Linked DNA regions of Callithrix jacchus. The protein of the gene in region 4 interacts with the protein of the main gene of each other region in a pairwise test. Links are inferred from orthologs where the notes say so. Each region holds a gene or a part of one and is shown on either strand. Other genes may lie near its edges. The genes, in order: EHHADH, GABARAPL2, YES1, FUNDC1 and TUFM.

The links.
Region 1: the proteins of FUNDC1 (region 4) and EHHADH interact in binary tests that used the Homo sapiens proteins (3 or more experiments, as listed by UniProt). The two-hybrid records come from large-scale screens. The link is inferred for Callithrix jacchus from reciprocal best matches to the Homo sapiens genes FUNDC1 and EHHADH.
Region 2: the proteins of FUNDC1 (region 4) and GABARAPL2 interact in binary tests that used the Homo sapiens proteins (3 or more experiments, as listed by UniProt). The two-hybrid records come from large-scale screens. The link is inferred for Callithrix jacchus from reciprocal best matches to the Homo sapiens genes FUNDC1 and GABARAPL2.
Region 3: the proteins of FUNDC1 (region 4) and YES1 interact in binary tests that used the Homo sapiens proteins (3 or more experiments, as listed by UniProt). The two-hybrid records come from large-scale screens. The link is inferred for Callithrix jacchus from reciprocal best matches to the Homo sapiens genes FUNDC1 and YES1.
Region 5: the proteins of FUNDC1 (region 4) and TUFM interact in binary tests that used the Homo sapiens proteins (3 or more experiments, as listed by UniProt). The two-hybrid records come from large-scale screens. The link is inferred for Callithrix jacchus from reciprocal best matches to the Homo sapiens genes FUNDC1 and TUFM.

Annotation. Positions count from the first base shown.
Region 1 is NC_133516.1:14,235,055-14,240,761, reverse strand, and holds the start of EHHADH (peroxisomal bifunctional enzyme), read left to right. Parts: upstream 1-2,051; 5' UTR 2,052-2,078; coding exon 2,079-2,149; intron 2,150-5,707. UniProt on the Homo sapiens protein: Peroxisomal trifunctional enzyme possessing 2-enoyl-CoA hydratase, 3-hydroxyacyl-CoA dehydrogenase, and delta 3, delta 2-enoyl-CoA isomerase activities. Catalyzes two of the four reactions of the long chain fatty acids peroxisomal beta-oxidation pathway.
Region 2 is NC_133521.1:32,970,115-32,975,780, reverse strand, and holds the start of GABARAPL2 (gamma-aminobutyric acid receptor-associated protein-like 2), read right to left. Parts: upstream 3,334-5,666; 5' UTR 3,225-3,333; coding exon 3,191-3,224; intron 2,863-3,190; coding exon 2,807-2,862; intron 1,690-2,806; coding exon 1,517-1,689; intron 1-1,516. UniProt on the Homo sapiens protein: Ubiquitin-like modifier involved in intra-Golgi traffic. Modulates intra-Golgi transport through coupling between NSF activity and SNAREs activation. It first stimulates the ATPase activity of NSF which in turn stimulates the association with GOSR1.
Region 3 is NC_133514.1:63,183,810-63,189,237, forward strand, and holds the start of YES1 (tyrosine-protein kinase Yes), read left to right. Parts: upstream 1-1,644; 5' UTR 1,645-1,812; intron 1,813-3,054; exon of another isoform or gene 3,055-3,161; intron 3,162-5,428. UniProt on the Homo sapiens protein: Non-receptor protein tyrosine kinase that is involved in the regulation of cell growth and survival, apoptosis, cell-cell adhesion, cytoskeleton remodeling, and differentiation.
Region 4 is NC_133524.1:45,510,848-45,516,443, reverse strand, and holds the start of FUNDC1 (FUN14 domain-containing protein 1), read left to right. Parts: upstream 1-2,376; 5' UTR 2,377-2,448; coding exon 2,449-2,476; intron 2,477-3,169; coding exon 3,170-3,326; intron 3,327-5,596. UniProt on the Homo sapiens protein: Integral mitochondrial outer-membrane protein that mediates the formation of mitochondria-associated endoplasmic reticulum membranes (MAMs).
Region 5 is NC_133513.1:29,105,227-29,110,665, forward strand, and holds the start of TUFM (elongation factor Tu, mitochondrial), read left to right. Parts: upstream 1-2,055; 5' UTR 2,056-2,134; coding exon 2,135-2,186; intron 2,187-2,297; coding exon 2,298-2,492; intron 2,493-2,986; coding exon 2,987-3,153; intron 3,154-3,408; coding exon 3,409-3,513; intron 3,514-3,601; coding exon 3,602-3,766; intron 3,767-3,912; coding exon 3,913-4,045; intron 4,046-4,129; coding exon 4,130-4,234; intron 4,235-4,363; coding exon 4,364-4,515; intron 4,516-4,608; coding exon 4,609-4,728; intron 4,729-5,300; coding exon 5,301-5,439. UniProt on the Homo sapiens protein: GTP hydrolase that promotes the GTP-dependent binding of aminoacyl-tRNA to the A-site of ribosomes during protein biosynthesis. Also plays a role in the regulation of autophagy and innate immunity.

The DNA.
Region 1 (5,707 bases), on a different chromosome or scaffold from region 4:
GAATTTCTTACCAGTTGGACTTCTGGCCCCTTTCTGTGCAAACTGGCTGAATGAATGGTAAAAGATTATAAAAAGGCATGAGAATGTAAATTTTTATAAACATTTAACAGGCTTGCTAAAATCAAATTTCAGCCTCAAAAATTGTCTTTTCTGACCTCTAACTTTGAGATGCTACAGCAGGCTCGTGAACTATCCAAAAAAGGGGTAAACAGGATTATTTGACATGTTTAGTTACATGGGAAGCATTATCAAAATAAAAAATAATATGTAATCATCTTCAGCTTATATTTTAGTGAATGATATTAATATGTGTTCCAAAATTGTAGGGGATTTTGGTCAAAATGGCGAGAACCTGGACACCCTCCACCAGTAACAGTTTCACTAGTTGTGTGTTATTGTAAGACAAATAAAAGTGAGGTTGAGAAAGGAGAACAGGGCTTGGAACCAGGGAACCTAAGGAACTTCTTAGAACTAAATCAAATGGAAACACTTCAGCTATGACAGGAAATATCCTCTTCACTCACATAGGATGTACACTGAGTAAATGACTTTGTAATTTTACTTCATCCTCTTCATTTACGTAGGGCATACACCCAGTAACCAATGGGAAACCCCTAGAGGGTATTGAAACCCCAGAAAATTCTGTAACAAGGGCCCTTGAGCCCCTTTCTCAGGCCCACTCCCACCCTGTAAAGTGTCTTTTCATTTTCAGTAAATCTCTGCTTCTGTTGCTTTGTTCTTTCCTGGCTTTGTTTGTGTGTTCCATCCAGTTCTTTGTTCAAAATGTCAAAAACCTGGCCAACTTGCAGTCCAGACCCTTCTCCAGTACACGACATTATGTAAGTATTTGGTTGATGTTAGTGTGATCACTGGATAGGTTCTTCCTGCCTGCTTCACAAATAAAATCAATTCGAGGAGACCTCGGCATTGCAGTGAAGAAAGAGTTTAATTGATGTGAGGCTGGCCAGGCCATGTGGGAGATGGAGTTATTACTCAAATCAGTCTCATCCAAGGCTAGTAGCTTAGGGGTTTTTCAAAGGCAGTTTGGTGGGCAGGAGCTAGGTTATGGGAAGTGCTGACTGGCTGGGTTGGAGACGAACTCCTAGGGGGTCAAAGGAAGCTGCCTCTTGTACTGACTTGTGTGTGGGCAGGGCCACAGGAGCAGTTGACTGGTCCAGGAGGAGCCATCAGTGTCAGGCATGCAAAAAATCTGAAACGATATCTCAAAGGGCCAAACTTAGGTTCTACAATAGTAATGTTATCTGCAGGAGTAAATGGGGAAGTTGTCTATCTGGTGGCCTCCGGAATAATGGCTGGCAATGGTCTATGTCTACACCTTAACAAACAGAAGTCAGGCTCTGCTATCCTCCTAGCCTGGTGGTCTCTCATTTAGCTTTACAAAGGCAGTTGAGTTTTGGGAAAGGGCCATTATCATTTAAACTATAAACTAAGTGTCTCCCAAAGTTAACTTAGCCCAAGCTCAGGAATAATTAAGGGTAGCTAAAGGCAAGATAGGGGTTGGTTAAATCAGATCTCTCCCACTGTCATAATTTTCTCACTGTTAGAATTTTTGCGAAGTCTGTTTCATCAGTACCCTACTCATTTAGGTGAAATAAACAATGGGTATTTTATGTGTTCCGATGAGTATCAGTATCACATAACTGTCAGGGCCCCAGGTATCTGTCCCTGTTCAGAAGGATCATGAAGATGAATACTGCGATGCGGACAGCTTGCCCGACTCAGTGAACTCAGAACTTGTCCTCAGTAGCCGGCTCCTGTGGGCCAGGGATTGCAAACTTCGACTTGCCGGCAGTGACACCTGTTTTCCATCATTCTCCTTGCGGTACTTTGTAGCAGGAGCAGCGTGGGAGTCAACAAAGAGAAAGCACAAGCGTCTGTGGAGCGCGGGGTGGAGTCTCGGGAGAGGAGGACCTGGGTGGGAAGAGGCGCGGCAGGAGGCGGTGCCCCGGCTCGCATTGGCTAAGCCCGCGTCCCTCCCCTCGGGGCTGCTGGCGCGCCCGGAAAAGTGGCTTCGCCTGAAGGCGAGAGGCAGAGGTACCCTCGGTGACAGAGGAAACATGGCCGAGTATACGCGGCACAACGCCTTGGCGCTGATCCGCTTCCGAAACCCGCCGGTCAACGTGATCAGGTAACCGGCTCCGTCGCCTCCAGCCCTGGGACCGTGGGGGCCTTATCCGCCCGCGGCTCTGGAGGCTTTGACTGTCCCCGGCTGGTTTAAACGGAGAAAGACACTGACAGTTGAGCAACTGGTATATGCCAGGAGCCTGCCTGCTTTCCCTCCTTCCTTCCTTCCCTCCCTCCCTCTCTCCTTTCTTTCTCTCTCTCCTTACTTCCCTCCTTTCCTCCCCGCCTCCCTCCCTCCTTCCTTCCCTCGCTCCCTCTCTCACTTTCTCTTTCCTTCCTTCTTTCCCTCCTTCCCTCCCTCTTTCTCTCATCTCTCTCTCTCTCCCCTTCCTTCCTTCCCTCCCTCCTTCCCTCCTTGCTTCCTTCCTTCCTTCTTTCCTTCACTCCCTCTCTTCTTTCTTTCTCTCTCTCCTTCCTTCCCTCCCTCTTTCTCTCCTTTCTCTCTCTCTCTCTTTCTTTCCTTCTCCTAGATTAGCTTGGTTAATCTTTGCAGAGAACTCTCGTCCCCATTTTCCTGGTAAGGAAACAGAGGCTGAGACACATGCTAACTTAGGGAGCTGGCGTTGCCCTGTCCGTCCTGGGAACCCTTCTGCTTACTTGCAGCTTTGGCGTCTCTAATGCAAAGGTCTTAACTTAGTTGCATTTTGGACTTTGATCCAGCCTCACTCCCCAACTTTGAGTCCAGGCTGCCCTTACCATGTTTGGCTAAAAGCTTTAGGAATTGGGCAATAAAATGTTTTAACATTAAAAAAAAAAAATGAAGTCCCACTAATGCCAAGGTAGTGATTAAAGCAGAATTGTGCCCTGACTCACAAACGCAAAATTATTTCTCCTGATTTGTTTAAACCTCAAGACTGGTGCTTCCGAGGAAGACTCACATCCAACTAAGCCTGTGTACCAGCAGTTTCTGAAAAACTGCACCTTGTCTTCTTTTTCTCACTGGGGAGTACTTGCCGTGTGTACTGCACTTAAAACATTACTTTAAAAAGTGAGATCAGCCTGGCATGGTGGCTCATGCCTGTAATCCTTGCACTTTGGGAGGCTGAGGCGGGTGGATCACCTAAGGTCAGTAGTCCGAGACCAGCCTGGCCAACATGGTGAAACATCATCTTCACTAAAGATACAAAAATTAGCTGGATGTGGCGGTGCATGCCTATGGTCCCAGCTACTTGGGGCTGGGACTATAGGCTGAAGCAGGAGAATAGCTTGAACCCAGGAAGCAGAGGTTGCAGTGAGCAGAGATCCTGCGCTAATGCACTCTAGCGTGGGCGACAAAAGTGAGACTCCGCCTCAAAAAAAAAAGTGAGATCAGTGTTGTCGTTTTGAATAGTAATGAATTTATTTGGTCCTTCTGCATCTCTTTAAAAAAGTAGTTATACATCAGCCTTGAAAAAAGAATTACCTATCTACAGGGAATAGGATTAGTGGAAATTATAATTTACCAAGAATATATATGGCATAGAGAGAAATGTCTTTGGTCAAAATTCTTATGTGCTGTTGGAGCAAAAAGATTGAAATGAGAAGATCTGCTGATTTTAATAGAATTTAAAAATCTTACTGTCATCAGATTTATCATTAGAATTTTTATTTCGGTATGATTTATTGCATTTAGTAATATGCCAAAAAAATGCAGCACTAAAATCACATAAGGATGACATGTCTACTAACTTGGCATTCCCAGAATAAAAAGCAAAATATCTGTTATGTTGATTTTAACAAAGAAAAATGTAAGTAATATGATTACATGTCCATTTTGGACTGGTCTGTATACTGATTAGAATTGCTAGATGTTAGGACCTTAGGGGGAAAGTTCCATCCTCTAACACCCATGACTAGGCATATTTTCTGGCAACTGTTTTAAATGCTTCTGGAATTTAACCTGTTCTCCCTGCCCACCCATGCCACCACCTGTGCCACCCCCATCCCTTTTTGCAGGAGAAATGTTAGTGTCTACCTCATAAAGTTATAAAGTTTAAATCAGCTGGAAATTGTAAACTGGCATTTAATGGATGTCAGCTATCATTCGTATTAGTCAGAAGACCTATTCAAGCCCTTACCAACAGGCCTTGCTACCCAGGCTCCACTTCAGTTTCATCAGGAAGATTTTCTCCATTTGGAAATAAGGACTTCTCTGCCCTTTTTCATCTGTTTTTTGAACTTTTTTTTAAAGTGGAAATGTACATCCTTGCAGTTCCTCAAGTTTAACAGATTCCTCAATTTTTTTATTTCACTTTTCTTTCCTTCCTCCCTTGCTTCCTTTCTCCTTCCTATTTCTAATTCTATATGGGAAGTCATCTCTTCCCAGCTCATTGAGAGATTCTTACTTGAGTATACACACATACACACACACAAACACACAAACATGTATATACATATATAAATTTTTCCCCCTGAAAAAATAGTTTAAATCCTTCATTGCTAGTTTAGCCAGCCATGTTTGCTTCCATTCAGATAAACACCAGCCCTCTTTATACATGTAGGACATGCCTGATTAATAGGCTGTCTCCCAGGACAGTGGCTTTCACACTTTTGCTTTAAGCTTATGTTTTTACATAGCAATTCAAGACACACTTACATACAAACGCGTAACAGAAAACAAAGTTTCCTAAAACAAAACCTATCCTTACATGGTATATTGTTTGATATATTCTATTTTCTTTTCTCTTTCTTTTTTTTTTTTTTTTGAGATAGAGTCTTGCTCTGTCGCCAGGCTGGAGTGCAGTGATGCAGTCTTGGCATGCTGCAACCTCCACCTCCTGGGTTCAAGCGATTCTCCTGCCTCAGCCTCCTGAGTAGCTGGGATTACAGGTGCCCACCACCATGCCCAGCTAATTGTTTTGTTTTTTTTTTTTGAGACAGAGTTTCACTCTTTTACCCAGGCTGGAGTGCAGTGGGGCAATCTCAGCTCACTGCAACCGCCGCCTTCAGGTTTTCAAGCAATTCTCTTGCCTCAGCCTCCCAAGTAGCTGAGACTAAAGGCACGCACCACCACACCCAGTGTTTTTTTTTTTTTTTAATTTTAGTAGAGATGGGGTTTCACCATGTTGGCCAGGATAGTTCAGTCTCCTGATCTCATGATCCTCCTGCCTCAGGCTCCCAAAGTGCTGGGATTACAGGCATGAACCACTGCACCCAGTGGATATATTCTATTTTCTCTTCCTTTTCTTTAAAAAAATCCTGGACACAAGCCACAAAATTGATTTGATGACCTTTGGTTTAGAAAAAAAAAACTGTCTATGAAAAGAAAGAAATTCTATAGTCAAAGAAGTTGAAGAGCTTTGGTCATGAAGCACTGTCTATACTCCAGACTCTCTTCATGCCTGACAGTATTAACAGGAGAAAATAATTTTCTAACTTCTCTGGCCTTTCCCTTACTATGACTCTGTCAGCTTGAATCTAGTAAAGTGTGTATCTGTTAGAGCTATTTTCATTTTTTTCCTGTTTTTGATATTTGTAAAATTATGAACATAAAAAAGGAAGGATTGGTTGAAATGGGAAAAGCAGAAAGCAGGTTCATTCTCATCAGTGGCACTGATTGAGCTAAATTTGGCTAGTTTCATAG
Region 2 (5,666 bases), on a different chromosome or scaffold from region 4:
CTGTGGAGCCATCAGAGTAATCATAAGGTCTCCAGAAGCCTGCTTCATTTCCTTTGAGAAGAACCAGAGAATCAGAATTGAGGAAAATAAACTTAATGCCATAGGTCCTAGTCACTTACTTCCACTAAGCGACCACCTCTGGGAAGGAGAAAACACAGGGTCACCAAGGCTCTGCAGAAATTGCAGATGGTATAAAAGATTACTTCCCCAGTCACCTTAAGGAAAGCCCAGGGTAACTATGAATGCCCAAGGCTTCCTCCTCTCGTGAAGATAGCCCTGAGGCCTGGGAAGGAAGGTTGGAAGAGCCCCATGGATGACAAAATCACCTCAAGCAACACCACAGCTTCCAGAGCTACAGCTGCAGCAGACCAATGGTGTCCAGTGGGCAGGCCCTGGGCTATCTCCTCAGGTTGGACACTGGCCTTAGGGAAGGAGCTTCCATTTCTCCCCTGCCTTTCTACCAGACACCAGGAAGTGGAGGTGGTAGAGACTGGGAAACAGGTAATCAGACCAAAAAATAGCCAGAGCTTTCCACCTTTAACAGAAATAAAGTCTGGAATTTGGCACGGGCCTCTTAGGAAGTCTTCAAGGATTTTCAACAGGAACCTATCTGGGCAACATTGGGCTAGTTCCCAGGGCTTCTGAAAGCCTTCACTTTTAGAAGTATTACTTCTGGGGGTGGTAAATGAAACCTACTTTGGGTCACTAAGGTAAGATGTGGCCAGGAACTCACACTCAGGGGAGAGGTGAGGGCCAGAATCTGGATCAGAGCCTAGAACTACCCACTCAGTAACAGGAAAGGACTGACCAGGAGCTTAGACGGAGCCTGTCCATTTTCCTCATTCCAGAGGGGACTAAAGCTGGGCTGTCAAATACACAGAAAATGGAAATTCTAATGCCCCTGCCTACATTCGGGCTGCAAGTTACACTCCCAAAGACTGCTTCCAGGCAGCACCATAGTCTGACAGTCAAAGCAGGTGCTACCAAGGAAGGTTTAAGTCTGTAAAGAGACTTCAGAGCCCTTTACTGTGCTGCAGTCATTTTGTCAGACTTGAGGATCAGACAGCTATAGACTCTTACAATGGCAGAGAGCTGACGAAGTTTGGGAGCACGCAAACCGCTTGATTAACTGAGTAAGCCTCAGCAGAACCCACAGGTTCCCAGTGGAGGAGAGTGGCCAGACTGTCTTCAGGGAAGAAAACCTCATTTCAGGCATCAGTTCTACCTATGGCTTAAGCCTAAATAAGTCCTCAATGTTTTAAAAGATTCTTGGAGGTCTCAGGCTGAGTTTCATCCCTTTTTTAGAAGTCCAGGCCTTGTTCTATTTTCCGAATCTAAAATGCACCCTTATGTATTGCAGCCGTTATTTTCCTGGAGCCCCTGATGTCAGGGAGCACAAAATCCAGATTTCTAGTCAGAACCCCCAAGAGTTTTCAGACCTCCAAAGTTTTTGAGTTCTCTAAGCAGCCAACCAGATGTCTAACACCAGAGGACCCATCTAGTAAACACCTCTCACCTGGACTGTGGGACTGTCTTATCCACAAACAGGAAGATCGCCTTTTCAGAAGGAAGCTGGATCCTTTTCCTGATGATCCACATGAACTGAGCCACAGTGATATCAGATGGAACCAAGTACTTCCGTTTGTCAATGTCAACAATCTGAGAGCCTGAGACCTTTTCCACAATCACCTGGGAAAATAAAGAGAGGTCAGGACTGGGTTTCTAAAGCCAGGCTCTGGCCTCAAGGCTGAGGAGCTGAGGAACAGAGTGTGGGCAAGGAGGTGGGTGGGAAACTGCATAGCAGGAGAAAATATGTCTTTGGCTTAATAACCACATGCTCTGGAGGTTAAGAATTGATATAAATGGGTTATAGGGAAACGGTAAGTGCTTTTCTGTGGTCAGTTATGTAAGAAAAATGCAGCCCTTACTACTAAGCTTTTCCACATTTTATCTGGGCAGACCTAAGAATATGTGGGGATCCACATCCATAGCCCATTACTCCAGGACCCCAGAATGGATCCCCTTCACACTACAGGAAACACTACTGTGTTCCCAAGGAACACAGGAGACAAGAACAGATGGACTAATGGGAATGCCTGGAATTTCAGCCAGCCAAGAACCAAGCTCTTCATTTGGCCTGTTGCTCTTCTCTGAACAAGTTTCAAATCCGTCCCTCCTTCCCCCAACGGAATTATTCACAAGCAAAGAGCTACAATAACAGGCCTTAATGTCCATTAAAAATTAACAAGAATTACAAAACTATCTCCCCAAACATGGAAAAAATATATTTACTACTGACTAGGAAGAAAGCATAACAGAAAAGGGTTTTCAGCGGCTTCTCACATTGTTTTGGTCAGGCAGGGATGACAGGGTCAAGGTGAGGCAACGGAGCCAGAATTTGGGTAAAGATGGAGGCTCCAAGTAAAAGGTGAAGGTCCTGAGACTCAAGTACCACTTCCAAGACCAAAGTGACAGTCTCCCTCCACCACCGTTCCCAAAAGTGGCAGTGACCTGTTGCCCTGTCCTAGAACATCGTTCCTTACATAATTGGCCAGGGAGCCCCGAGGCTGCAGACAGCTCTCGCTGGCCTAGATCCGGAGATTCAGCACTGAGGCACCCTGAACAGCACCAGCCCGAGCCCCTCACGCCCCGGCCCTGGGCGGCCTCATCGCAGTCTGGCCCGTCCTCTACTACAACTGGGAATGGAACCTCAACTTGTCAACTGTTGAATGGCCTAGGGCCTATCACGGCTCCCAGATGACAGAGGTGACAGCGAGGTGAGGGGGCGGAGAGTCCAATCACTCACCGGAACCCGGTCAGGATATTTCGCTCGGATCTTCGCGGACTCCACGCATCTGTGTTCTGTGGCAGAAACAAACAGGGCTGACGGCCGCGCCTGCCCACAGGTCGGTTCCGGGCCCTCGGCCCTCCTCCTCCTGCGCCTTGCGCACAGCCCAGGCCCTCGTTCCGGCGTCCCCACGGCCGCGGTCCTGTCCCCTAGCTCCCAGGGGGGTCCGCGGAGAGTGACGCGGGGTCGAGGGACGGCTGCTCGTGGCACCGGAGCCTTGGCGGCTCGAGCCCGGAGCGCGGCATACGTCCTGCTTCACCCGGCCCAGGGCCGCCCGAGTGGGGGAGGGGGCCCACCTGCCGCCGCGGCCCCCCGCGGCCGGTCCGATGGCCAAGTGCTTACCCAAAGAGTGGTCCTCCTTGAACATCCACTTCATGGCGGCGGCGGGGAGGGGATGGAACCGGCTCTCGGAGCCGTGGAACTCGGCGTACCGACCACAACAACAACGGCGGCGGCGGTAGCAGCGACGGAGGCGACTACACGGCAGGCGGGACTTCCGGCTGCTGGAGCCTAGCAACCGGTCAGGGGCGGGGCTTCCGGCGCCACTGGCCAGGAAGCTATGCCAAGGGGCGGGGCCGCACGTAGTCACGGAGGGCTCCTTCTGGGGGCTACTAGGCTGCGGAGGCGGTGAAGTTGGTTACGGGGGCGTCTGTGAGCAATATCGGCGACCCCAGGAAGAAATGTTCGGGGAACTGGTGACAGGAGTGGGGTCTCGGGAGTGTTTGTGGCGGGAAGCGTCTGGCTGATAGTGTATGGCTCTGAGGGCTCTTTGGGGGTGTGGCTGATAGTTGAGGGCTCTTAGAGCGTTTATAGGGGAGGTCTGAATAGGGAATTGGTGACAAGAACGGTCTTTGGGAGTAAGAATGACTTAAGGGGAGTCTCTAGTGCTTGGCGATGACAAGGGAGCTGTTTTGGGCGTTGACAGTTTGGGGGTTATTGCTCGGAGTGGTGACAGGGTGGGGGCACAGTATGGGAGGGGTGGTGTTTGAGGACACTGTGTAGGAAGCAGCACTGAGGACAACCTGGACGTCCAGTATTAGGGACAGCGGTAATAGGTTGCCTTGGACCTAGAAATTGAATTTAAACAAATCCCATTTTCTTCCCTTATTCGTGAATCTATTTGAATAAACATTTACGAAATGCACATTCGAGGTAGGACGTGGTGGCTCCCGCCAGTAATCCCAACACTTTGGGAAGCCGAGGCAGGAGGATCCCCTGAGGTCAGGAGTTCGAGACCAGACTGGCCAACAGGGTAAAACCCCATTTCTACTAAAAATACAAAAATTAGCCAGGCATGGTGGCACACACCTGTAGTCCCACCTCCTTGGGAGGCTGTGGCTGGAGAATCGTTTGAACCCGGGAAGCGGAGGTTGCAGTGAGCCAAGATGGCCTGGGTGGGAACAAGACTCTGTCTCAAAAACAAACAGACAAACAAATGCACATTTGAAGAGTATAACATAACTGATCACAGACCCTTTAACCTTAACTGGCAGAGGAGTTAGAGGTGACAGTCAGGCTTGGAGAATTCCCCTGAGAGCTGGTCATGAGATGGGTTTCCTTGTTTGGCTGTGGGAGTGGTTTAGCAGTCACAGCCCAAGCTGTGTGTGTCACCTGCCCAGACATATGCCTTGAGGTTCTCCAGCCAGTGATGTAATGCCTTTCTTCCAAGCAGAGTCATCAAGGCAGTCTGGTCTAGGTCACCATCTGTTTATAAGCTGCTGAGCACGTAGCAAGAATATTCACTTAATTTGGGCACATGAACCCTGCCACATGCTTGTGATTCTGATGCACCTGTAAAGCCTGTATGTTTGAACATGCTAGTTCATCATTTCCTACACTGGAAATTCCCAATTGATGCTGTGGAATCTAGCTTCATTCTAAAAGTATTTTTGTTATTTTAAGACTGTGTGTCTGACCAATCAGAATAGGTTTTATGTTTGTTTGTTCCTTTGTCTTCGTTTTTGTTTTTTGAGGCAGGCCCTCGATTTGTTGCCCAGACTGGAGTGCAGTGGTGTCATCTCGACTCACTGCAACTCTGCCTCCCGGGTTCAAGCGATTCTCTCCTGCCTTAGCCTCCTGAGTAGCTGGGACTACAGGCATGCACGACCCCTCCCAGCTAGTTTTTGTATTTTTGGTAGAGATGGGGTTTTGCCAGGTTGGTCTCCAACTTTGTACCTTAAGTGATTTGCCTGCCTCGACCTCCCAAAGTCCCAGAGTACTGGGCGTGAGCCACTGCACCTGTTTGTTTGGTTTTTGTTCGGTTGGTTGGTTAGGTGGGTTTTGGGGTTTTTTGTTTGTTGGTTGGTTTTGTTTTTGTCTTTTTTGAGACGGAGTCTCCCTCTGTCACCCAGGCTAGAGTGCAGTGGCTTGATCTCAGCTCACTGCAACCTCTGCCTCCTGGGTTCAAACTATTCTCCTGCCTCAGCCTCCTGAGTAGCTGGGATTACAGGTATGTACCACCACACCCAACTAATGATTGTATTTTTGTTTTGTTTTTGAGACAGAGTTTCGCTCTTGTTGCCCAGGCTGGAGTGCAGTGGCGCTGTCTCGGCTCACCACAACCTCCACCTCCTAGGTTTAAGCAATTCTCCTGCCTCAGCCTCCCGAGTAGCTGGGATTACAGGCATGCGCCACCATGCCTGGCTATCTTTTATTTTTAGTAGAGATGGGGTTTCTCTATGTTGGTCAGGCTGGTCTGGACCTCCCAACCTCAGGTGATCCGCCTGCCCCGGCCTCCCAAAGTGCTGGGATTACAGGCGTGAGGCACGGCACCCAGCCTGTTTGTTTGTTTTTAATGAAGTGAAAAAGCCTTTGAATT
Region 3 (5,428 bases), on a different chromosome or scaffold from region 4:
CACTCCAGCCTAGGCGTCAGAGCAAGACTCCATCTCTTAAAAAAAAAACAAAACAAAAAAAACTATCTATATATAGATATATAAGCTGGGCGTGGTGCAACATGCCTGTAATGGCAGCTATTAAGGAGGCTGAGGCAGGAGAATCACTTGAACCCAGGAGGCGGAGGTTGCAGTGAGCCGAGATCGCACCACTGCACTCCTGCCTGGGCGACAGAGTGAGACTCAATCTCAAAAAAAAAAAAAAAAAAAGAAAAAAGAAAATACAGCATCGTTCTACATTATGTGTATCTTTTTGTTCCTCTGAATGCCTGTGCCTACCTTTCGTTCATTTAGTGAGCTGAAGAAAAAGTTTTCAAACCCTTATACGCATTTCCTTAAGTTCCTAGAATACCGGAACACTGACACATAAGATTGCACTATTTCGTATCTGTTTAAGATGATTCTGAATTTCACTAAAAACCGCAAAGGAAACCAACAGTCACACAATAATTGTGATAACCCACCAAAGAGGAAATACAGAGAGGAAGTTACTCGAAAAGTTTGACAAGGCAGAAGTGACTGCAGCAGAAGAGCCTCAAGGCTCCATGAGGACCCTGATTAACCGTCCCTCATCTTTACGCCCCCACCCCATCCTTCCTGGTCCTCCCCCTTCTTCCGCAATTGGCTACAAGGCTCATAGGAAAGGTGTGTGGATTCAGATGGATAGGATTCCAGCTGCTGCTCCTCCAGTTTCGGGGTCGCTGTTCCCACGATTGTCGAGCAGGGTGACCATACTTATCTCACTTCCCTCACTGGTCTACTGCCAGCAACATATAGAAATATGCTGTCCCAACATAAGCCAAAGCCACCATTACTGGGATAGTCGCCAAACACAACTCAGCTTTGGTTACCCTCCCGGCAAGGCTGGTTCGACCTACAGTCAACAGGAAGCTCCTGGGGGCAGGGACAGGGTCCCAGCCTCGGAAAGAGGCCAGACATGAACGTTTTTTGGACAGCGATCAGGATGGTGATGAGGGTGTGAGTAACGCTCCGGTTCACGCGGTTGGGCTGAGATTTTACTACTAACGACAAAGAGTGCGGAAGCTTAGTGCAGAGAAGCAAATAGTCAACCAAATAAACTCAACCCCGTCCTTCCCCACAAAAACAAGCCCCAAAGCCCTGGGTACTAGGCAGAGCCGGGCCAAGGAAAAGAGAAAGGCAGAGGGGCGCCCCATTCAATCCCCGTGGCAGCCGAGCGTCGGTGGGTTCCCGGGTGGGCAGGGGCGCCGCGGGCCTGCTCTCCCGGCGGGGAAGCGCCTCCTCCTCCTCACGCCCCCTCAGTCTGCACCGCCCGGAATATCCGCCCCGGACCCCGCCGCCATGTTGGGTCGGGAAAAATGACACGGACTGGCTGCCTAATCTGACCACAGCAAAGCGGCCCGGAGTCCGTGGAGCGGACGCGAGGGGGGCGTAGGCGCCAGAAAGCTGGGAACTCTGGAGCCGGGCCACCGAGGCCCGAGTTCCGGCGAGCCGGCTGCGGCGCGCGCAGGTAGCCGCAGCCCCCGCCCCGCGCCCGCCCCCGTGAGGAGTGAGGGGGCGGGGCCAGGAGGGGAGGAGGTGGAGAGTGAGGCCGGCGGGTGGGGAGCCCGGGAACTCCCTCCTCCTGAAGTAGCGCGTCCCGGGCCGGCACTGCCGTCGTTGCTGCCGCCGGACGCCCCGGGACGAGGAGGTGGAGGAGGGAGAGGGCCCGCGGGCCTCGCCTCCGTCCGCCGCCCCCGCCCGCCACCCCGAGCTGCGGCAGCAGCGACTCATGAGAGCGCGACCATAAAACAGGTAAGGACCCGGTGGGGCCCTGCGGGCGGAGGGGTCCACCCCGGCAGGGACAGCGCTAGGCCCCGGCGCCGGGAGCCGCCACTGCCGCCGCGGTTCTCCGCCCCCGCGGGCCAGAGTCGGGAAGTTAGGAAGAAACTTCTCCCCTCCCCCGGCTCGCCCGGCGGGCTGGTCTCCTTCCACGCGCTACCTGCTCGACCCCTGACTCGGTCCCTGCCCCGTCCAGTCCTGCCGGGTCCCGCCCAAGTTCGACCTGAGGTCCCAGGGGCGTGGGGACACTCCACACCCCTTGTCTTTGGGGTCGTGTGGACCGCCCCGCGACGTGGGGCGAGGTTTATTTTTGCCCGCCCGGCCGAAGTAGGGGCGAGGGAAGCGGCCCCTTTCGGTCCTAAAGGCTGGGGTTCCGTATGTCGGCTAACAGCGGTAGCAGCTGTGCGGGGAGAGGAGCGGGTGTGTGGGGCGAGTGGGTGAGCCTCTGGCTTTACTTGGTTTGATTGAAAACCGCAACATGTTTAAAGTTTTCCTTTGTTTTGGATTGGGGGTTGTGAAATTTACTATTCAGCGTCCACTTCTACAGAATCTTGCCACACCGCCTCCCATTGCGTTCGGTGCCCTGTCCACATGTGTTAAAGAAAATTTTGTTTTAAAGTGTGTTTTTCTTCTTAATTGCTTCCAGCTTTCACTTTTTTGGGCATGGGGCAGAGTTGTTTTAGGAAGCTCTTTGAAAATAAGTCTGGTGTAGGGACTTTAGTGCTGTTTTCTAGTAAGACTTAACAGTTCGGATTTGGTTGAATTATTTTCTGCATAATTAATTGATGTAGGCTTGGAATAACATACAGTCTAATAATTTATAAATTATTAAAGGAAATAATGAAAAGTCTTTGGTGGAAGCACAATTTTATGTCCATATCGTTTATGTACATTCGTTCTACGGGTGTGTGTTTTCACATAGTTGATTTCACATATATATATAATATGATTGTAGTGTCTTTATGCCTAAGGAAAATATTACTAAATCTATACACGTGACTGCATTTAAGGAAAAGTGCGTGGTAAATCTGATAACTATCACAGTGCTTGGCACACAGTGGACAGGAAGCATTTTGAATGGACAGGTAATAAAGGAGTGTCTTGTATTAGCCAAGGATCTTGTTTGCATCATGATTTTCATATATTGTACATTAAGAAAGTTTTACTTTAGCAAGTCATATATATGGTTTTTTTCTTTTTATTTTTTTAAATTAAAAAAATATGGAACGCTTCACAAATTTGCGTGTCATCCTTGCTCAGGGGCCATGCTAATCTTCTCTGTATCGTTCCAATTTTAGTATATGTGCTGCCGAAGCGAGCACTTTGTTTCTTTATAAATATAAGACCCCTGCTACAGTTGACATGTAAGAAAAGGAAGTTAAATTGTATTTTAGTTTTTGGACTAGCTAAAAGTCAGTGGAGATTTTAAATGCTGGTTGACTATTCAGAGGGCTCTACATTTGAAAAAGACAATTGCCTTTGATCTGAAAACAAAACAGTTTATATCCCTGTTTCCAGGATAAAAGATAAAAGGGCTCTTAAAATATGTACTCTGCTGTAACCACCGTAATGTTATAATAGCTTTAATTTTGCAGTTAGGTTTTGCTGACTTCATAAACCACAAAATTGATTCCTTTCTGTTCATCTGAAAGTGAAAATACAGCTTTGACCTGTCTTCTTGGCATAGGTGGAATTTGTCTTATGGTCAAAGTATAATAATACATGGGCTCTGTGTGTGTGTGTGTGTGTGTGTGTGTGTGTGTGTGTTCGGGAAATTCACAAGCTGAAAAATGTCTATGCGAGTAAAATTCCTCCACGGTATGTAATGATAAAAGAATGAATGTGCTAAAAGGAAAGAAGTAACCCTGTATAAGTGAAATACTACCAACCCATGGTGTAAGACTTATTCAAAGTTGAAATTTGCATTATGTTAGGCAGTAAATAATTTATTACTATGGGTAGTTTTTCTTTACAAAATCAGTGTAGGCATCACTTACTCTATTAGCATTGTAGTAAGAAAAAAAACTAATTCAAAAAAAAATTTAAGTGATGCTAAACTCTGGTGTCACCCAAACTTGGATAATAAAACTAAAAAAAAAACAAATAAGGTGCTTTGTTTAAGAATATATTTGGTGACTAACTTTAGAACACCACCTAGGCTATCCTCTGCCAATAGGATTAAATTTATTAAATCATAGTTGTCATATACCAACTAGTATATGTAACTACTTTGAAAACGTTAGGCTGGGCATGGTGGCTCACACCTGTAATCCCAGCACTGTGGGAGGCCAAGGCGGGCGGATCACGAGGTCAGGAGTTCAAGACCAGACTGGCCAACATGGTGAAACTCCGTCTCTACTAAAACATACAAAAATTAGCTGGGCTTGGTGGCTTGTGCCTGTAATCCCGGCTACTTGGGAGGCTGAGGTAGAATTGCTTGAACCGAGACCCAGGAGGCGGAGGTTGCAGTGAGCCAAGATTGCGCCATTGCACTCCAGCCTGGGCTGCAGAGGGAAACTCCATCTCAAAAAAAAAATAATAATAATACAAAAATCCAAAAATTAGCCGAACGTGGTGGTGAGCGCCTGTATTCCCAGCTACTTGGGAGGCTGAGGCAGGAGAATTGCTTGAACCCAGGAGACGGAGGAGGTTGCAGTGTGTACTCCGGCCTGGGTGACAGAGCAACACTCTGTCTCAAAACAAAAACAAAAACACAAAAGTACAAAAACTTTCTGGGTGTGGTGGTGCCCCCTTGTAATCCCAGCTACCTGGGAGGCTGAGGCACGAGAACGGCTCAAACCTGGGAGACAGAGGTTGCAGTGAGCTGAAATAGTAGTGCCACTGCGCTGCAGCCTGGTCAACAGAGTGAGACTCTGTCTCAACAAGTATAACAAAATAAAAAACAGAAACAAAATGTCAAATACTCCCAAATGTACAGTAATTAGAGAATTTTTGGAAAAATCTTCTAAATTTCTACTTGCTTTTTTTTAATAAGTTAATTTTTTGACAGACACAGGTTTTACAAAATTAAAATCTGCTTTGGCTTATATTTTGTAAATAACCAGTAGAAGGTAATCAAAATGTTTATTGAACTAATGGATACTGTTTTGTTATCAAATACTCTGTTTTTCTGAAAATTACATGACAAAACTCAAAACTATTTTCAGTTTTCTAGAACAGTAATTCTTTCGATCAGTAATTTTGGCCTTAGTTTTTATATTCTTAAGAATGCCATAAAATTTCAGCATAAAATAAATTTTTGTTTAAAGTTTATGAAGATTTATAGCACCTGAATGAAGGATGGATATGTTTTGGTTCAAAAGAAAGCAAATTACAAATGGTGTTGGAGCTTCAGAAATGCAAAGAATCATTGGGTCATGCTATTTTATTTGCTTTATGTAATGGCTTGCTATTTTAGTTGTTGATGTTGTGTCTTCACATTATTGCAGAGTTGAAGAAGAGATCACATCTGTGCCAAATTCTTATATCACAGGAACTTTCTGTCATGTTATAAAGGTGATGTTTGTGGTGCAGGCTTTGTTATGTGAATATTTACAGGAAGTTTTAGTAAGATCTTCCATTGTTTAGA
Region 4 (5,596 bases):
CACTTAAACTCGGGAGGTGGAAGTTGCAGTGAGCTGAGACCGTGCAACTGAACTCCAGCCTGGGCGACAGAACGAGATTCTGTCTCAAAACAAACCAGATGATGCTAAAAAATTATGTCCTCGGCCGGGCACGGTGGCTCATGCCTGTAATCCCAGCACTTTGGGAGGCCGAGATGGGCAGATTGCCTGAGCTCAGGAGTTCCAGACTAGCCTGGGCAACACAGTGAAACCAGGTCTCTACTAAAAATATTAAAAAATAGCTAGGCGTGGTGGTGTGGGCCTGTAGTCCCAGCTACTAGGGAGGCTGAGCCAGGAGAATCGCTTGAACCCGGGAGACGGAGGTTGCAGTGAGCCAAGATTATGAAACTGTACTCCAGCCTGGGTGACAGAGAGAGACTCTGTCTTGAAAAAAGAAAAAAAAATTATGTCCTTTTGCCAGGTTAGGAATTACAAGGCCCTTCTTTACCTCCTTTGGATTCCTGGCAGGAACTCAAGAGAGAGAGCTGGTAAACAGATTCCAATCTCAAGCAGCAGGGCATTAGAAAAATATTGGTCCCCTAGTGAGCCCTTGCGCCCTTAGAAAAGTATGGCTTGAAACAGGGTTTCTCTTATCTTTTACAAGCCTGTTTCCTCAAGCATGTGAATTCTGGTAGAGTGTTCAAAATACTCTTAAAAAATTATTCTGACAGTGTGCAAGTGATGGGCCTAAATTTAAAAACAATTATGAGACACTTCTTAAAAGGGTAAGGAAGACTTTGTTCATGACTATTGCAATAGGTGTCAAGACTATTGCAATATAGTCTGGCATGGTGGCTCATGTCTGTAATCCCAGCACTTTGGGAGGCAGAGGCAGGAAGACTGCTTGAGCCCAGAGGTTCAAGACCAGCCTGGGCAACACAGGGAGACCTAGTCTCCACAAAAAATAAAATTAGCCAGGAGTGGTGATGCATGGCATGGAGACCCAGCTACTCTGGAGGCTGAGGTGGGCGGATCTCTTGGGCCCAGGAGTTTGAGGGGCAGTGAGCCATGACTGCGCCACTGCACTTCAGCCTGGTGACAGAGCGATACCCTTTCTTGAAAAACAAAGTTATCACAATAGGGGTGAGTGATGGTTCTCAACTCTGAACACAGCAGGGAATTTATAGTAAATGATCAGAGTGAATGGATCAGTGGGGGGAAGATTACCACCAAGAGCGGACATGAAATGTAGGGGTATTCTTTTTTTTTTTTTTTTGAGATGGAGTTTCCCTCTTGTTGCCCAGGCTGGAGTGCAATGGTGTGATCTTGGCTAACTGCCTCCCAGGTTCAAGTGATTCTCCTGTCTCAGCCTCCCGAGTAGCTGGAATTACAGGCACGCTCCACCACACTTGGCTAAGTTTTGGTATTTTTAGTAGAGACAGGGTTTCACCATGTTGGCCAGGCTGCTCTAGAACTCCTCAAGTGATCCACCAACTTCGGCCTCCCAAAGTGCTGGGATTACAGGCGTGAGCCACCGCGCCAGGCCTTTTTTTTTTTAGGTGGAGTCTTGCTCTGTTGCCCAGGCTGGAGAGCAATGGTGTGATCTCAGCTCACTGCAACCTCTGTCTCCCGGGTTCAAGCGATTCTCCTGCCTCAGCTTCCTGAGTAGCTGGGATTACAGGCATGCGCCTCCACGCCTGGCTAATTTTGTATTTTTAGTAGAGATGGGGTTTCTTCATGTAGGTCAGGCTGGTTTCTAACTCCCGACCTCAGGTTTTCCGCTCGCCGGGGCCTCCCAAAGTGCTAGGATTACAGACGTGAGCCACCGATTTAACATAATTTTTGCTGGTGGCAAAGTGATCAGATATCAAGGGTGGGGTTGAAGAATTTGATCGGATATTGAAGATGATTCGATATTAAGGGTGTGGGAGTTCTCATTAAATTGACTTAACTGGATTCTCGCCACAAATGGACTAAGCAGGTCAAAGACGACCCAAGGAGGAGACCTAGTCAAAAAGAGCTCAGAGGAGCTTCCTCACTAAAGTTTGGTCGAGAGAGTCTTTGTCAATACCCAGCTGGCTTTCCCTTTGTACCACCATGTGGCGTCCTCCCTTCCCCCCATTCCTTCAGTCATAGGCTCTTTAAAACAAAATATTGAAATTCAAGTTATGGAAATTCTAGGAGGGGCGATCCCTCCCATTTCCCCTTTCCCCCTCCCTAGTTGCGGAAGACAACGGACTACAAATCCCCTACGCTCTCGCGGGGCTACGATCCGACTAGCCCTCCCCCGCATTCCGGAGTCTCGCGCCTGCGCAGAAGGCAGAAGGTCCTGCGCTGAGGGAAGGGGGCGGAGACGGGACTACGCGCCAGGAGTAGGAAGGGGAGGAAAAAAGAGACCATAGACTCCCATCCTGGCCTAGAGCGGCCCTTAAAGTGCCAGGGAGAGGAGGGCGGGCGGGGACCACTACAGAATTGGCCGCCGGCGGTATCATGGCGACCCGGAACCCCCCTCCCCAAGGTGAGCGGCCAGGGCCTGAAGTGGTATCTGGGACGTGGCTCACAGCTCTCGACCTTGCTCCCATGGCACCTCTTCCTTCCCCTGCCCTAGGATTCTTCGAGCTCTATTGTTTATTTTTAAGGCAGCCCCTTTGAGCACCACCTTCGAGTTAGACTTTTTCCTCCCCTCTCTGCGGAACTCAAGCGGAGAGCCACCACCCCCACCCCCAGCACAGCCCTACCTGCCTCCTGCCTTACCTTCACCGCTGGCCCATCATCTCCATCTTCAAATGTATTATTTTTCTTTTTTTAAACGTCTAGACTCTGAAGTGATTTCGCTGGGCTCCAGACTAGTTCTCAGAGGAGGACCCCTCCCCACCCCCACTCCTCCCACTGATGAAAATGGACCCTGCACTGACCTTGACCTTACTAAGGTTTGGAGTGGGGGTGACCCCTCACTACTGTGTGATTCTGAGTTGGCCCTGGCTTCGTGACCCCAGGCCAGTCCCTGGGCCTTTGGGAAAGCAGATGGGGGTCATTGTTGCAGGGCCCTTTACTCTTGAGGCGGTGGTCTCAGGAATTAAGTAAAGTCAGTAGTTTCCATCTGGGCATTTTTAGCTGTAGGCCAAAAGGAATGAGTTGTAACATATTTTTGAAAAGATTTCTGACTTTTGATTGACTCTACATTTATTTTTTCCATTTTGCTATTTTAAAGAATATGAAAGCGATGACGACTCTTACGAAGTGTTGGATTTAACTGAGTATGCAAGAAGACACCAGTGGTGGAATCGAGTGTTTGGCCACAGTTCGGGACCTATGGTAGAAAAATACTCAGTAGCTACCCAGATTGTAATGGGTGGCGTGACTGGCTGGTGAGAACAACGTCTTTTTCATTAAATTTCATTTGGGGGCCTGACACTGCTGTCCTTTCAAACATGGGTGAGAGTCACTGCACATTCAGTGGGTCTACACTGTTAATTCCAGAAGAGGCTTTTCTCTGAGTTAAAATTGATGCAGTCTACATTCCCAGACTCCCCGTTGGGTTTTGGTGATCCCCTCCCCCATGCCCACCACTGTTCTCTCCTCCCTCCTCACCCTTCTTTTGATTCTTTATATGCTTTCCCCATTCTCATGTTCAGCAAATGCCGTGGATCTGATTCAGTGATAGTAGATAGGAAGAAATATATGAGTTAATTAAATGTAAATTTTTACATTTCATTCAGTGCTAACTACTGAAAAAAACCTAAGAAACTCCCACGGTAGAACTGGCCTCTAGTATTGTCAGCGTTGTAGAGAGCAGTGTAAAAATGCTCTGCGCAAATTATTGGTGATGATACAGATAATTCTGGGTTTTTCTTTTGTGGGCTCGGTCAGATTATGATAACTCTTTGGAAAAGAGCTGTAGAACATTAGTTCTGTGTTGAAATTAAAGATCTGATTGCTTACTTTGTAATATTGTGGGGTCCATTAAGAAGTGGTTAATAAGCATCAGCCTGACCAGTTAACATTTCAGACCATGTGATAACACAATGGCTACTGTGACTCTAATTCTGTTCTTATGAAAAGACTAGCTAGATAACAAGGGGCAGAAACAAATTTCACCGTTTTGAAAATGTTCTTGACTGTAGAGAAATTTTGAAGTTAGTGAGGGTGCTTAACTTGGGCATAAGCATTTTTTCTTAGATTCGCATTTAAGTTCATCTTACATTGATTTAATGGAAATATTTACGTTTCCACTTGATAAGTATAACAACGAGTTTTTTGATTTGTGTTTTACATGCATTTTGGAATAATGACACGCTCCTCTATGCCTTTTTGCAAATGCCATTTTATGATAGAAATACTGATTGTGAAGATTCTGTGGTGCAGAGGTGCGGTATTTATTCATGATATGTGCTTATTAATGGTGCTACGGGAAAAAAGCCCGCAATAAAAAGAGATGCCTGTCAGGGCCTGGTCATTGAGATAATTCTCCATAGGCTGATTAGTTCCTCTAGCCCTGTAATTCAGGTTATGGCTCTCTGCTTAAATAAGCTCACAATTTGGTGCCAGAGGTGATTGGTTAATGTCAGTCAGTGCCTAAAGCCTAGTCTTAAAACAGACTAAAAAATAATTGAGAAATAGAATTACCAAGTCATTTCATGGTTTCTCCTTGGAGAGCAAACTCCTTGTAGAACAAGCCCCATCATTTGCAGAAGTTTGCTCAGAAAGGCTAGAGACAGAGCAGCAGGAAATAGGTTCATTTTAGTGACTGATGCCATCAAGCAATGGATGCACATGCTTGTGGAGCACAGTCCAAGGGGTATTGTGCCTGCTGCCTGCTTTTTCTGTTCCCTTTTCTGAGCCTTTGTTGCTGACTCCCCTATTGAGGGGCACATTCTTTATAGTAATACAATTGTCCCTCAGCGTAGGTTACCAAAATCTGCGGATTCTCAAGTCCCTGATATAAAATGGCATAGTATTTGCTTATAACCTACACACACTCTCGTATACTTTAAATCATCTCTTAATTACTTATAACACCTAATGCAATGTAAATAATGTAAATGCTATGCAAATAGTTATGTGGAATTTTTTTAATTTGTGTGATTTTTTTATTTTTGTTTTTTTGTCTTTTTTTAAGTTTTGTATCCCGATTGATTAAATTGTGGATGTAAAACCTAGCGAGGACACAGACACACACACACACACACACACACACACACACACACACACAGTGTTGGTCCAGGAGCTGTATAATAGAACTCTAATAATACAAGTGATTTGTTGCAATGACCTTATTCAGTGTAGTAAATTTTTGCAATTTTCTTAGGATGTAAAATTGATGTGATATTGTGGTGTCTATTAAGGAGGAACAGTTAATAGGCATTAACTTGACCAGGTAGCAATTTAGACCAATTCAAGACGTGAATAGGAGGCTGAGGAGATTTTATTTAGCTGCGGATAGCTGTAGGCTTTTGACCATGACAAAAAAATTAAAACTATTATCAGGATGGATGGTTGCTAGGAGAAATGGGAGGTGTCAAGACCAGTTAGAGGGCCCTTAGAATGGTCTGGAAGCAAGGTAATGATGACCTTGAGAATGGAAAGAAGACAGTCAAATCACATTTTGGAGATAAAGTATATAGAGCTGTGGAGGCCA
Region 5 (5,439 bases), on a different chromosome or scaffold from region 4:
CTCCCGGGTTCAAGCGATTCTCCTGCCTCAGCCTCCTGAGTAGCTGTGACTACAGGTGTGCACCACACCCAGCTAATTTTGTATTTTTAGTAGAGATGGGGTTTTACAATTTTGGCCAAGCTGGTCTTGAACTCCTGGCCTCCAGTGATCCACCCACCTTGACCTCCCAAAGTCTTGGGATTATAGGCATGAGCCACTGCGCCAAGTGCACCCATACTTTACCAAATAGTATTCTTTTAAATGGATTTATTTTTTAAAACTTGATTATTATGCCAGTTTTTTTTCAAGCTAAAGCACTTTAAAATAAATATAGCACCACAAAATAGAAACCATTAATTCAAATACCACTCCCAAAAAACACATGTTGCTAGTGGCCATTAATGTCTTAAGATAGACTCCTGACCATCAGTTTTCACACCTGCAAAATGGGGGAAATAATATATCCTACCAACCAGGGTAGCACTCAGAGCACTGATTGTGAAACAATATGAATGCCTGCACATTATAAAGCTCTAGTTCAGAGTTTCCCAAACTCCTCTGAGTTTTCATCAAAAAAATGTTTTTACAGATGCGGTCTGATTCTCTGTCACTCAGAGTGGGGTGCACTGTCATAATCATACCTCACCGTAGCCCTGAACTCCTGAGCTCAGGAGATCCTTCTGCCTCAGCCTCCTGAGTAGCGGGGGCTACAGGTACATGCTACTGTTAGCATGCCTGGTTAATTAAAAAAAAAAAAAGATTGTAGCGATGCGGGGGGCAGGGGTGGAGTGTCTCCTAATCTGCCCAGGCTGGTCTTGAACTCCTGACTTCAAACGATCCTCCCACCTCAGCCTCCCAAAGTGCTGGGACTATAGGCATGAGCCACCGTGCCAAACGTTTTAGAAGGGTGTTGGTTATATACCTTCCCAGTATGTGCACAGAATCATAATCTCCAGGGGAGGAATTAGGGAATCTCTTTGAAACAAACACTGTCCACTGAGTCTCAGGATCTGATGAGTTCCGAAACATAAATCAGGGTTAAGCAGCCACAATTAACACTTCAGAGTGCCATGCGGAAGCTGCCATGAGATGATGGATGTGAAAGTCAAGGGTCATTGACTACCCCTGCACTCATTCATTCAATATTTACTGCATGCTCCACCCTGTTAGGTGCTGGGGCCACAGACGGAATAAAAGAGACTCAGGCTGCCCTTAAAGGCTCCCCTAGTTGGCTCCTCGTCCTTGGTGTCATCTGTAAAATTAGGTGGGTGGGGCGGCGCCCAACGGAACTCCTCCTTAGGCAGCTGAGTGGCCATAAGGATGGGCACCGAAGCTGTCTGTCTGGTGGGCTCTGGCCCTGTGAGGTCAAGCAGTACAGGGTCCCCGCAAGCTGCCTGACCTCACAGGGCCCCACCCTGACTACCACCCAGGACCACATCCGTGATTCCTACCCAGTTCATCTCCTTTCAGGGCCAGATGAAAGAATCGCCCTATGAAGTGGATACTACCATTCCAATTTTACAGATAAGAAAACAAAGTGTCAGCAGAGAGAGGGGTCACACTTCACCCCACCCGCGAAAGGCGTCCAGGACCTGGTCCTACCTCCAGCTGCGGCAGAGGTGGCCAGATGTCTCCCAAGACCCGCGTAGCGAGTCGTACTCCGGGGGACTCGTGGTCTCTCTCTGTCGGTCTCAGGAGATTCCTAGGCAGTGGGAGCCGCCGCTGCCTCCCGTAGCCTAAGCCCCTCCCTCGGATCCGGCCTAGCCCGCCAGACTCCCACCCTGGGCGCTTCCACAGCCCGCCGCCCCAGGAACTACCATGCCCATGAGCCTTCGCTGCGTCGGTGCTTTAGGGGCGCTCCCCAGTGCCCCCCGCGGCCTCCAAAGAGAACTACGTTGCCCATCAGCCCGTGAGGCCCGAATAGTGGAAACCCTCTACCTCATTCTTCGCCCCCGAGACACATGCCCCCTACATGACGTCTTCAGCCGCGCGCCAGAAGTCCGCGGAGACGGCCATAGACACTGGCGGGTAGAGGGGACCGGACTTGCCCTCCTGCCCTGTACTTCCGCCGGAAGTGCCTTCTAGCCGCAAGCGCCCTTCATCCGCTGCGCGCTCCGGCTGCTTGTCCCGGTTCCCCGGTTCCCGGGGCGCGTGTATGGCCACAATGGCGGCCGCCACCCTGCTGCGTGCGACGACCCGTTTCAGCGGTGAGGGGTCGGGGAGGGTGATGGCGGCCCAGGAACACATTGGGGGCGTGGTAGGTGGCTGGGTTTGGTCTGAGCCTCGTCCTGCCTGACTCCAAGCTTGGGTCCCGGCAGGTCTCGCCGCCAGCCCGACTTTCCTGCTGCAGGGTCTGTTGCGGCCGCTGAAGGCCCCGGCATTGTCCCTCTTGTGCCGCAGCTTGGCCTTGGAGGCCAAGAAGACTTACGTGCGCGACAAGCCACACGTGAATGTGGGCACCATTGGCCATGTGGACCACGGCAAGACAACGCTGACTGCAGCCATCACGAAGAGTGAGTGGGGTGGGCGCGTCTAGCAACGCCCTATCAACTGCTGGAACGTCGAGCCAGGGAGGCGAGACCAGCAGAGTGGAGGAGGAGTTTACTGTGGCCCCCAAGTTTACTGCTGGAGGAGTTTACTGTGGCCCCCAAGTTTACTGCTGGAGGAGTTTACTGTGGCCCCAAGAGCCCGAACTTATGCGGCGGGTGAATTGGGAGATGCAGGAGACAGATTTCCCCTGATCAGGAAGAACTTTGTGATCCTCCAGCGGCTTCTCTCTAGCCGTAGGGAATGCTCTGCAAGCAGAGTCTGTACTCTTCTAAAGAAGTCATAGGGCCGACCCTTAAGGCTCTCTTAACATTTCTTTCTGACCCATAGTTCTCTCTGCTGGAAGAGTTAGAGATTGGAGGAGGTTGTGTCTTAGGTGGGGAGAGTTCAGGGGTGTGGTCTAAGCTCTGCTTCTAGCACTGGAATTTTAGCTGAGAGGTGTATTCTCTTCCTCCTTTAGTTCTAGCCGAGGGAGGTGGGGCTAAGTTCAAGAAGTACGAGGAGATTGACAATGCCCCGGAGGAGCGAGCCCGGGGTATCACCATCAATGCGGCCCATGTGGAGTATAGCACTGCCGCCCGCCACTACGCCCACACAGACTGCCCGGGTCATGCAGATTATGTTAAGGTGAGGGTTGCAGGGGACACTGGAGACAGGGCCAGAAGCTGCCTCATTTCAGGATAAATCTTAGGCTTGTGGGGAGGGGGTTAAGATATTCAGTGTTTGGATATAAGATGGTAGGTTTGTGGGCATGGCCACTCAGAATGGGTGGTGGTGAGATGGCCAAGAAAGGGGGCCTCAATTTCTAAGTGCTACACTTGGCTGCATGGATGTGGACTGAAGAACTCGTTGAACCTGGTTGTTTCCTCTCCTCCTACCCAGAATATGATCACAGGCACCGCACCTCTTGATGGCTGCATCCTGGTGGTAGCAGCCAATGATGGCCCCATGCCCCAGACTCGAGAGCACTTACTGCTGGCCAGACAGGTACTCCAACCCTGAGTAGGGGTGCAAAGGGGGAGAATGGGTAGTTGGGCCCCTCCAGACACTGTCCCTGTCTCTCTGCCATCTACAGATTGGGGTGGAGCATGTGGTGGTGTATGTGAACAAGGCTGACGCTGTCCAGGACTCTGAGATGGTGGAGCTGGTGGAGCTGGAGATCCGGGAACTGCTCACTGAGTTTGGCTATAAAGGACAGGAGACCCCAGTCATCGTAGGCTCTGCTCTCTGTGCCCTTGAGGTGAAGGCCGGGTCAGGCAGAGTGGCTGCTGCAGAGAGTCAGGCTAGATGGTCAACCAGAGCTCTGCTCTGTGTCTGGGAAGTGGTTTTTGGTAATTGAGAGGAGCGGAATACGAATTTCAGAGTCCTGTCACTTCCCCTCAACAGGGTCGGGACCCTGAGTTAGGCCTGAAGTCTGTGCAGAAGCTTCTGGATGCTGTGGACACTTACATCCCCGTGCCCACCCGGGACCTGGAGAAGCCTTTCCTGATGCCCGTAGAGTCGGTGTTCTCCATCCCTGGTGAGGACTGTGCCTGCTCCTACACACTCTCTATAGCAGCAGCGTAGCTCTGGGTCCCTGATATCCTGTCCTGTTACTTCCCAGGCCGTGGCACTGTGGTGACAGGTACGCTAGAGCGTGGCATTTTAAAGAAGGGAGATGACTGTGAGCTCCTGGGACATAGCAAGAATATCCGCACTGTGGTGACAGGTACGGGAGGCCAGCCTGGGGAGCAGGGGCTGGCTGCAGGGTGGCCTTACCCCTGGCAGATCCCTTGTGCCTTCCCTCTGCCTCACACTCGCTTCCCTTCTCCCTTTTCCTTTTCCCCTTCCCTTCTAGGCATTGAGATGTTCCACAAGAACCTGGAGCGGGCCGAGGCCGGAGATAACCTCGGGGCCCTGGTCCGAGGCTTGAAGAGGGAGGATGTACGGCGGGGCCTGGTCATGGTCAAGCCGGGTTCCATCCAGGCGTGCCCCAAGGTGGAGGCCCAGGTGAGGGCTCCAGGTGATGGTGGGCAGGGCTGAGCCAAGCTGTCCCCAGCATTCCAGTCAAGCCCAGCTCACCCTCATTGCTCTCTTCTCCAGGTTTACATCCTCAGCAAGGAGGAAGGTGGCCGCCACAAGCCCTTTGTGTCCCACTACATGCCTATCATGTTCTCCATGACGTGGGACATGGCCTGTCGGGTTATCCTGCCCCCAGGGAAGGTATGGTGGGTGGGAGGAATGTAGGGTGGAGGGGGGACTTTTTATATCACCTTTGCTTCACTTAGTTCCAAAGACAGACTGTGACAATCCAAGTGGCTTTATTTCCTTGGGTGGAAAGGGGCTGCTTGTGCTGCTAGCCAACATAAGGGGCATGGCTCATGGACTTAGAGGTGGGGAGTCCTCATCCAGTATGCCGTAAGCTGAAGCAGGTTAAAAGCTTAGCTCTGCCAGCAGTTTACCCACAGAAAGATTTCCTAGGTGTCTTCTTTCTGAATTTCACTGTATGAAAGCTTAGGAAGTCCTGGGACCAGGAAACTGCATAACCACAACTTCCTAGACATTTTTTCTCGAGACCACACCTTGGGAGCATTCATCACTGGTCTCTTTCATGTTCTCCTGTCTCAATATGCTGTTTGCATCTGCCTGACAGCCTGGGATGGGTGAACTGTCCCCAGGCAGAACCTTCCCCTGCTGCATTTTCCCATGACTCTTAACCTCTGAGGTAGCCAACAAAATGTTAAGGAATGAAGGCACTCTGGAGGCCATGCATGATCCTTCTCTTCCCACTCTAGGAGCTTGCCATGCCCGGGGAGGACCTGAAGCTCAACCTAATCTTGCGGCAGCCAATGATCTTAGAGAAAGGCCAGCGTTTCACCCTTCGAGATGGCAACCGGACCATCGGCACGGGTCTAGTCACTGACACACCAGCCA